Linked DNA regions of Drosophila melanogaster. The protein of the gene in region 1 purifies or fractionates together with the protein of each later gene. This does not show direct contact. Each region holds a gene or a part of one and is shown in the gene's direction. Other genes may lie near its edges. The genes, in order: Ptp10D and sas.

Region 1 (5,171 bases):
CCGTCTCGCTCGAAGAAAGAAAGAGGACTACATATGTACAGTCAAACTAATCCAAGTCAAACTCTTCAGTCTCAGAATTGGAGACTTTATTAAAGGTTTTTTATTTTATGAAGAATAGCATATTATTTTTATATATATATATTTATGTATATATATTTATATCACAAATCTCCTTCGATATCCCTTTGTAATCTATAAAAACACTTCCAGGCGCAGCTTTATTTTTCAACAGTTTTAATTTTGGGAACTTTACAAAGCATATAAGCATACCCCAAATCCATATCCTTATAAACTTTGTAGTTATTACAAATGTGTTCAAAATTAAAAAAAAAGTTTGTCATCCAAAATCCAATCCGCTAAATACAATATAATCATTTTAATTGATCTATGTTACACTTCTATAATGTCTACTGGACAAAATATGATTAAGTTGAAATTTCAAAGTGTTTTTGAAGTTCGTACTAGCGAAGTTTGGCTGTAGTTCAATACTCACAGAAAGGGAGCGAGACATATTCCCATCTCGCTCCGACCTGTTATCAAAGCCTTTGCCATTGTCCTTGGCGTTGCGTTCTTATCACCGGCGTATCGGAGGGAATATATGATTTTTTTTTCGGCCAAGTGGTTCTAGTGGTAAATATGAGGCGGTGGGTGGTTTCGGGGGGTTTGGGGGAACGGCGGTTGGTGATGGGCGCAGAGAAGGCGGGAGGCGGGGGGGAACACGTTTCGTTATTTTTTGTTTTATAGCGAAATTCCTCTAGCTATAAATGTATGCATACATATATGCTATTAACTTTTCGTTTAGCTCAATTTTTTGTTTGTATTTTTAATTATAACTCGGTTTGTCTAGTGTGTAATTAAATTAAAAGTCCAATGCTAATTCCCCAGCGAATCGTTCAGTGTTTGTTCAAACGAGTTGTGCTCTTTAAACACTTTTGGCTTATCCTTTCATTTAATTTTTGTTTGTTTTCCTTGCGTTGTTATATGTCCAAATAAAAATGAAAGTTTGAATTGTTTTTTTTTAGTAATTTAGTTTTAACTGTAATGTCAAATGTCAAGAGGTATACTCTGTATAAGAATAATAATGTGTAATGTAATTTTTAGAACTTGCTAATCTCTAGCAATTAAAACATAGCCTGTAATTAACAATAATTAATTATAATAACCAGTAACAGTTCATGCAAATGAAACCTTAATAAATAATAAATTATATAAAAGAAGATGGAAGTGTTTTCAATCAATGAAGTTACTTCCTATTTTCAGGAGTTGGAATGTTACACTTTTTTATAAGCTGATTTGAAATGCGCGCCACATTATATCTGCCTTGCGCGCACGCATTGCAGCCGAATAACGGCGAATTAACTCCCCTCAGAGGTGAGTTTGAACTATCGATTATAATCGATTGCATTCGGAAACAAAAAACACCTTGAGTTTGGTCAGATCGGTTTTGCGCGGGATAAATAATAAAATATTAAATGTTTTCTTTGTTAACATTTCGCTGTGCATGCTGTCTGGGTACACATATACAGCCTATCGCCTTGGCTCACTAAGCCCATGGCTCAGATGTCCATTTGGACTAACATTTTGTGTGAGTAATTGAATAATAAGAATTACGGAGCTCGGACTTGTAATGGCCGAAGTACTACTGCCGCAATGCTTGGTTCACGTTAAAAAGAATCAAGTGCAACAAATTTAATTGTATTTAACTATTTTATAACCGCGCAGCAAAGTAATGGTTAATTCTGCTTTTAAATAGTTGACAGTTACAAGCGAAACATAGAAGCCGCGCAGGTTCCTATCGATACCATCGCTGGGTCATCGATTATTTGTCCAGCTCTACAGGTGAAACGAGCGTTGGCGATTCCGATTCCGATTCCAATTCCGATTCCAAATTCGACTCCGGACTCGAATCCGATTTGAATCAGATTCCAATTCAGTGTGGTGAAGAGCGAACCGGAGTGCGGACGGTACGGACGCGAAATCTGTTAAGGCGGGCCGCAAAGCAAACGCTCGAAAAACGCAAAATTTGTCGATTGTCCGTTCCGCTTTTTTCTTGTGTCTGTGCTTTGCGTCGCGTGCCTGCGTGTACGTGTAAGTGTGCGTGCGCCTGTGTTTGTTTTTTGTTATTTTTTTTATAACCAACGACAACAACAGAATAGAAGTAAATAAAATACACAAATTAACGGTGTATATATTTAAATGTTTTGGTTTTTTTTAGTGGCGTGCCGAATGAGCAAAATTTGAGAAAAACGCAGTGGAAAACGTAAGAAATGCTGAAATAAAGCTTAAAGTAAAAGCAGAAATTGAGAGTTGTTTGTGTGTGTGTGTGTATGTGTGTGCAATAATAATAACAAAAAATGTTGGCCGAGGGGGGCAGACAGACACAGAGCGAGAGAGGTAGAAGCAACACCTACGCAGCTTTTTTATGTATTATTTCGTTTTTTGGCATGCCGCTGCTTTCTCTCTTTCACACGCAGCCTCATTTGAATATTTTGTTGTTGTGCGGCAAATTTCTCCACTTCCTGTTTCTCTGACGGCATTCAATTTTGGGGGATCATTTTGGCTTGTTTCATAAAATCTCTATTAATGCTGACAATAAGTTGCGAAAAATTTCCAGTCGCATTAAAAAAACTTGTCCCACATTTAACAATAAATAAGAGGTGAAGAAATACGTTTTTAAAAACTTGTTTTGTTTTTGTGTTTTATGTGCCGAGATCATAAAGCTCTCTCTCTCCCTCTCTCCCTCTCTCTCTCTCTTGCTCTTCTCTCTCGACCAGAAGGAAAAAGATCAATCAAATCAATCTGCTCTGCTCTTCTTCTGTCTTCCTCTCTTTGCAACAAAGTTGAAGGTCTTTTCTGCATGACAACGTTGCCAAGCGCAGAAAGCAACAACAAGACAGTGCAACAATAACAAAACATACACAGAACAAAATTAGAGTAGCTTAAAAGGGAACTCCTAAATTAAATTAGTCCTACAGCAGGATTACCAATTCATTACAAGTCTATTCAAAAGATACAAGGACAACATCTTTAATTTTCCAGAAGATATGATACTTGTCAATACAATTTGAATTTTGTGCCGTGTATCGTTTTGATTTCGCAAAACTGGTTTTCAGACGTTTAGTTTTATTTGTTCTTCATATTTATTTGGTTTTTTTGCTGGCTGCGATATTTTAAATATTTCAATGACGTCAGCGCAGGCTAAATTATTGATCAGCAGTATTTTTTTGCAACTGCACAAGACAGTGCAATTAATTAGCACTTGTCTGCGAATTAGATTTAAATGAATTTAATGCATTGCTTAATCACACAGTTCCAGGAATGAAAACTTAAGTAGAACGGGTATTTCAATATTATACTTTACTGCTAGATAAGTAAAATAATTGATATTGATTTATTAAGCAAAGTCTTAACAGTGGTTTTTAAATCTCAAATGTTCAATCAAATTTGCATTTGCCTAGTTCCACTGTGCAGAAATATAGAAACAAGTCGCAGAAAAATATGAAAAAATAGGAACTGAAGCTTTCGGCGCAAGCGCAAAGTGTTGGATAAGCAGAAGAGGAAGCAGAGCAGGTAGAGAGCAGGACAGCGGCACTATCTAGCTGTCTCCCTCTTGCGATCACTCTTTCAGTTATTTTTAATTCATACTCTCTTGCAGATCACAAAATAAAAAACAAACAAAAACAAAACAAGAATATGTTTTAATCAATTCAAATTAAACCAACAAATTGCAAGCAATTGGATTCAGGATAAAAATTTACAAAATTTCACCACACTAACGGGAAAACTGTGAAAACAATGCATTTAATCAAAGTAAAGACTAAACTCGCGCTAAAAATGCCCGAATTCGAAAGAAACTAGCGAAAAGCCCAATTCAAAAATCGCACAATAAATTGCAAAGTCCAAAGCAACAACAACATAGGAACAAATAAAACAAGAAGCAGGCAACAAAAGAGAGCCAGGCGGAGAGGAAAACAACAACGAAAACAGCAAAACGACGGCCCCAAAATGTTGTACCAGCTAAGTAAAGCCACTACTAGAATCCGGCTCAAAAGGCAAAAAGCCGTTCCACAACATCGCTGGCTCTGGAGTTTAGCATTTCTGGCAGCATTTACACTAAAGGTAAGCGAGAGGGCCAACAAAAACATGGCCAAAACACACAATAGCGGGTGGATTTATAGGCCCGTCGAATTACCCGTTTCGGAATCTTAGCTTGGGAGAAACGATTATTCAGGATAATAATAATAATTATTCAGGATACATCAATACAAGAGAAATATGCAAAATTAGATAGGAGTTCAAAAGATATGATAAACAACAATAACCTCGAAATGTGCACAAATAACTTTCTAAATTCGAGGGCTATCGAAACGACAAGGTTCTGCAAACATTGTCCGAAGTTATTTAATTATTTATTTGTGACGACCCCGCCCCCGCCTCGAATTAAACCGCCCACATGGAAATCATCGTCTTCGTCACTTTTGTCTGTGGTCTTTCCCATGTTAATTAAATTCAATTATTTCGCATCGTGTTTGCTTTTCGCCATTGTTTATGCGAATGTATTTGCCTCACTGGACACAGTACTAAAAACAAACAAACAAACAAAGCAACAAACAAACTCCAATCCGATCAAAGACCTTGAGGAAACAACAAACAAAAGCAAGAGTAACAAACAATAACCGAACAAGATTTTGCATTTTGCATCTCAAGTCGTGTGCTGTGCAGATATGAAGTAGAATGCATTTAACAGAAGATGATGACATATTTATACCCTGTACACTCAGAATAATTAAATATAACAAACTTAACAGATAGTTATATTTTCGTTTCAAGGAATTTGTCTAAATACTTTGCATGCCTGGCATTTTTAATTGATACTTCGAGCTGTGTTGCATAATAAGTAATTGCATTGCCGATTCCTCGATGTGTGCAACTCAGCTGAGTGATGCAATCGATAAGGCTGGCAATTTTCCTAATTAGGTTTTTCACTGTTGCACTTTTGCACGAATTCAATTTTCATAAACTTTATACTTTATGGGTAAATATCTGAATATAGGGGTTTTCATAGGGCATCGATGCGGTGCTACTAACTCACGTCGTATTGTTATGTACTATTTGCTTTTAACTGGTCACTGGTTACTAAGGGTAATTAATCATTACACATGTGGGCACGA
Region 2 (5,043 bases), on another chromosome or scaffold:
CAACGATGCAAGGAAGTGGGTGCTTAGGTCTGTGGCCATTTGGTAGCTAGATAATTGGCTATCAGTGGAAGACCCATTGGTAGTATGCAACTTTGGAATTTTTTACAACACTTCTAGTCTTCTTTTCTTTTGCTTAATTTATATTTCTTAATTTTTAATTCTTAATTCCTAATGCTTTAGTATTCATATGTTGTGCATTTTATGCAAAAGACACTACTTGTAGTTTCCGTTTTCTTGCAGCGTTCTTTTCCTTTGCATACATTGAGAAATGCTCCATTCAAAAACTGTGAGCATAAACTGAAGTTGCATTGTTATTATTATTATCTTTTTATGTTCGCCTGTATTTTATTAGCATTAGCATTAGCGGCTTCTCAATGACGGTGCGATAAGCCCCAGACAAAATATATGTATGTATAAACAAAGGGAGACAATGCAACTTTGGCCGTGTTTGTGCAACACCAAAAAAAGCGCATTTCTGCATTATTCTCTGATGTTTGCACGTTAATGTATGCAACCACAAGAGCAGCCCCAATAACATAGAAACTGTGTGCACATTTGATACTTTTTGACGTCTGCGAGCAGAGAGTTGAGAGTTGAGTTGGATATGATTTGATTTGATTAGATTTGAGTTCTTCAGACACACATTTCCTTTTTAATGACGGTTGGCCAACTTGCTGCCATTGATGTGTGATGACGGTTTCTGGGCGCGTCTCGCATCCCAAGTGGAGAATTGATATTTGCATCGATGGCATTTGATGGCGGTGGATCAGTCAGTGATCGGTGGATTTATGAATTTGGGAGCAGCTCCGCAGATAAGGCCTTCGGAATGGCGGTTATTTGGGTTTGCTAATAGATATTGGAATTTCATGAATCTTTCTAGTTTTATTTAATATTTCGGGTATCGCAGTAAAAATAACTTTTATGTAGTTATATATACATATATCGTACTTTCCTCTATAGAAACCGATTTGACCTCGACTAGTTTTTGGGTTTTAATAGCGTCGGCGTACTTATCTTATCTCTAGTTTTACTTATCCCAAAGTAATTGGTTAAATATTATTAGAACACCAAACATTTAGGGATTATAGTAATTATTTCACATAATATAATATAATATAGTACTAATGCTATCCTTATACTAATCATTTTTATCACTCACGAGTGTTCAATGTACCCTACAATAGGGGTGATAAGGTATCACCTTATCACTTATCATTTCACTCTTTCGAAGTAGCATAGAATTTCTTTATTTAATCATATTTACGAAAGCTGTAAATGGGATTAATCTCTTAGTGCCGCTGTGACCCCAAGCATCCCTGACTCATGAACACTCTGGATCTACGAGTATGGAGATGCAGGGCCGCTAATACGAATCTACGCTTGTGCTCTTTCAAAAAGTCAGACAAAGAAGTCGAGGAAGAAAGAAACCGAAGGTAGGCGTAATCGGAACGATGAATGCCAACTCGGCTTGGCCTGGGTTTTTCAATGGGATTGAGTTTTTCGCCATCCAATTGGACAGTCCAAATAGATCGCGCTGAGTTCACTTGTCAAGGAATCGACTATTGCAGTTGCCTTGCCAAATTGAAAAAAAAAAACTCCGTCTTTGAGTCTTGTGTATGCATCATGGTCGTCTTGTTTCGAATCCAACGACTTCTAGAGAGGGCCTTTCGCTCACTACACCCACACTGGCAGACAGCAACAGCCTAGACACACCTGAGTGTGGGTGAGAGCGAGCATTCAACCACGGGGTAATGGTAATGGGTATTATGTATTACGTGCACGGTCTCACCTGTTGCGCTCAGCTGACGCGCGAGAAGGAGCCAGCCAGATGAGAGCCAACTAAGAGTTGGCCGGAGAGCAACAGCAAACCAGTTACATGTTGGCAGCCTGCAGATGCAGACCGTGGTGAGTTGGCAACGCTACCAGCCAAGATCCGTGCCGCCGGAGAGATCAGTTGGTGGTCGTGCTTGAGACGGAGCGGTTGGCCGAGTGCGATCGCATTACTTTGCGAACGATTTATATATACATATAAACCGCGCTGCCCACAAACGTGGCCAGATAAGAGGAGATATATACCAATACCTATACCTATTTCTCGCCGGGTTGGTGCTAATCTTCGTTTTAAGCGTGCCTGCGTGTGTGTGCGGTTGTGATTTATGCAAATCTTTGCTTTCTTATTAAACAAACACAAGATCTGGTAGTGAAATAAACGGCCCAGCAGAAGAAAAGAGAACCACGACCGAAAACATTCCATTGGAAATACCGAAAACACGTTTTCTCCCTCCAGCTCCGAATCGCTTGTTCGCTGTTTGCTTTCTGCCATTTGCCATTTCTACAAAAAAGGAGTGAGAGTGAAATGTGAAATGCGAAATGTCAGTGCAAATAGCTATCAACTTTTACAATGACATCACTAGATGTTAGCCAAAAGAAATATTAACAATTGCCAGCAGATATGGAATAAATAGAACCGCACGCTGTCTAATTGCCTTCGTACCAATATGGCCAAAAAGGCGTGCAGCAAATTCTGCGGTCTGCAGCCGTTTTCAGTTGCAGTTTCTGCTGCTGCCGTTGGAACCGGTTGAAATATTTTGCTATCGCAATTTGGGTCTAGGGTTTTTTGTTGCTGGCGTTGCATTGTAGCGAGTTGCATGAGCATCGACTGCCTTGCATATAAACAGTATATCTTTTTTTAGAGCCCAATTGGCAGCCTTTGTTTTTGGCAAGCTGGTTTATTTGCCTAGTTTCTGATTTGAATGGTGAGAAGTAAACATTGTGCTGGCGGCGTAGTCTTAAAAAAATGAAAGATATTTATGAGCTGCTCTAGGCTTAGGTACAGAAGTTGTAAATCTAAATGAAATATGCTAAATAGGGTTTACGTATCGTAAATCTACATAGGTTTTCAAAAATTCGGACACATTCAAAACTATGCGAAACTTTATAAAACAAAAGACTTGGGAAACGAACTTGCGTGAGTGGCATCGAAGATGTTTACGCTTTCACACTTAAATTGGTCATTACATAAATGTGTGACATAGGAAATGCTTTAGATATGCGGCGTATTTGGAAAAATTAGCTAATACTTTTATTTCGTAGCTTAATTAACTCACATATTATTTTTGATTGATTGAGTCAAGAGTAAGCCACCCCTATTTTCAAGCTAACAACTTTCCAATTTCCGCGTAGGGCGACCTAACAAATCACTCAACAAATCGGCTGGCAAAATATAGACTTGAGTTGACACTTGAGAGATCGTTATTCAACCGACTTTCAACGGAAATGACAGCATTTGGGGTTACCAAAGCGAGTCAATGACAAATAACAGAAACCGCTGCCACAGATGTCGTGTGAACTAAAATAACCGCATAAGAAAATCCCGCACCCCAAAAGAGAAAACTAAATAATAACTAGTGAACAAAAGTAGGTAATGAGTTATCGAGACCCTTCGAAACGTTTAAAAGTGCATGTAATTTATTTAATTCCATATTTATAGCAGATTACTATAAATTAACAATAACAAGTGCAAACGTGTGAGAAAAATCAAAGAGGAAAAGCCAAAAAGACGGAGCACAAACATAAACCAAAATGCAAACGTGTAGAAGAAGAAAAGCCTCCGGCGGCCAATCCACGATCAAGTGGAGTAGAATGTGCCTGGCCACTCTCTGCGGATTACTTTTGCTTGGCATTCAAATTGAGCGTGCGGCGTCTGCGCCCGCAGGCGAAGACGCAGCGGCCACAACGATGCCACCTTTGGATACCACAACAGATGCCCCAGACGCCGTTGCAGCCACCACCACTCCAGCCACAACTGCCGCAGAACAAAGCAGCAGCATCAGCAGCATAACCACCGAGGCGGCGGATGGTTCAACGACTTCCACGACGACAACAACTGAGGCGGCCAACAAATCCAATGCGACCGAAACTGGTGAGTCCAAGCCGAAAGCCATGAAAATTATAGATAGACGGCATCTACGCGACGACGCTCGCATAGCTGGGGCATCTCATCCCGATCTCCGGCCAGACACTTTAATCCCGCCTAGCCGCGCTGTGCTCTCTGCGCCGTAATCAAATCTCGTTCTCTGAGCCACCAATTAACGCCGTGCCGGTGCGTGACTTCTGGTCCGCCCTTTTTTTTACCCATTTCGTTTCGATTTGTACGGCATTTCTCCATAATTATTTTCCGATTCGGTTAAATGGAGCGAACAAGAGAAATTGTTTGACTATTAATGGATGGAAGAATATTTGAAGATATACATAAGCGGTTTCCTGTTGAATTACTTAGTTAATTACGCGGCATATTAAAGGGAAAATATTAAAATTTCCGGCCCTCAAGCTCAATCTCGGAAACCAATTATACGAGAAATTATTATTCGTGCTAGAACAAGTGAATGAACTTAATTAAATCTTAATATATTCTACTCGTACTACACCCAAGATACTCAAGATAAATTGAATTATACTTCTATTTCGATACAATTGATACTTAATATAAAATAAAAAATAATAAATCAGATTAGATTTTTTTTTTTTTTTTTGTAATTCTGTTGAATGAACACATTCACATTTAGGTTATTAGGATAACTGGAGAAATTCGTTTAACCAGATCACCTGAGATGGAATGATTAACTTTCACACACGTACCTTTTGCAAAATAGATTAATCGGGCAATTCCATTGCCGAGTTCTTGGCTGTAACAGATTTATAATTATCTAGAAGGTTGTTTGGGCTTAATGTCAGTTGCACACCAAACTCTTCACGAGGCAAGCACTCCGTCGTAAAAACTTCAATTGGTTTTTCATTGTTTTGATACTATTCCATCTAGATTCATTGATGACTCGATAAAACGAGGTCTAGCAGGCCACACACAGGTCTAGATCGATTGAGCATAGGTTGTTGCCATGGCAAGTGGGAATGCATTGTTTAAAAGGGACTGGCCTTTTTTAGCCGGTCTAAATGCCACGGGAAGTTAATGAGATTTAACAGCAAACATTGGGATGGTGGTAAGGTAAGCCTTCACAAATTACTCAATTTAAATGCAAAGCAGCC

The links.
Region 2: the proteins of Ptp10D (region 1) and sas purify together in Drosophila melanogaster (affinity purification with western blotting; one study listed by BioGRID). This does not show direct contact.

What each region holds. Positions count from the first base shown.
Region 1 is NC_004354.4:11,620,098-11,625,268, forward strand, and holds the start of Ptp10D (protein tyrosine phosphatase 10D), read left to right. Parts: upstream 1-1,917; 5' UTR 1,918-2,088; exon of another isoform or gene 2,089-2,260; intron 2,261-3,655; exon of another isoform or gene 3,656-3,732; 5' UTR 3,733-4,005; coding exon 4,006-4,119; intron 4,120-5,171.
Region 2 is NT_033777.3:7,160,939-7,165,981, forward strand, and holds the start of sas (stranded at second), read left to right. Parts: upstream 1-1,869; 5' UTR 1,870-2,102; intron 2,103-3,183; 5' UTR 3,184-3,421; intron 3,422-3,490; 5' UTR 3,491-3,582; coding exon 3,583-3,922; intron 3,923-5,043.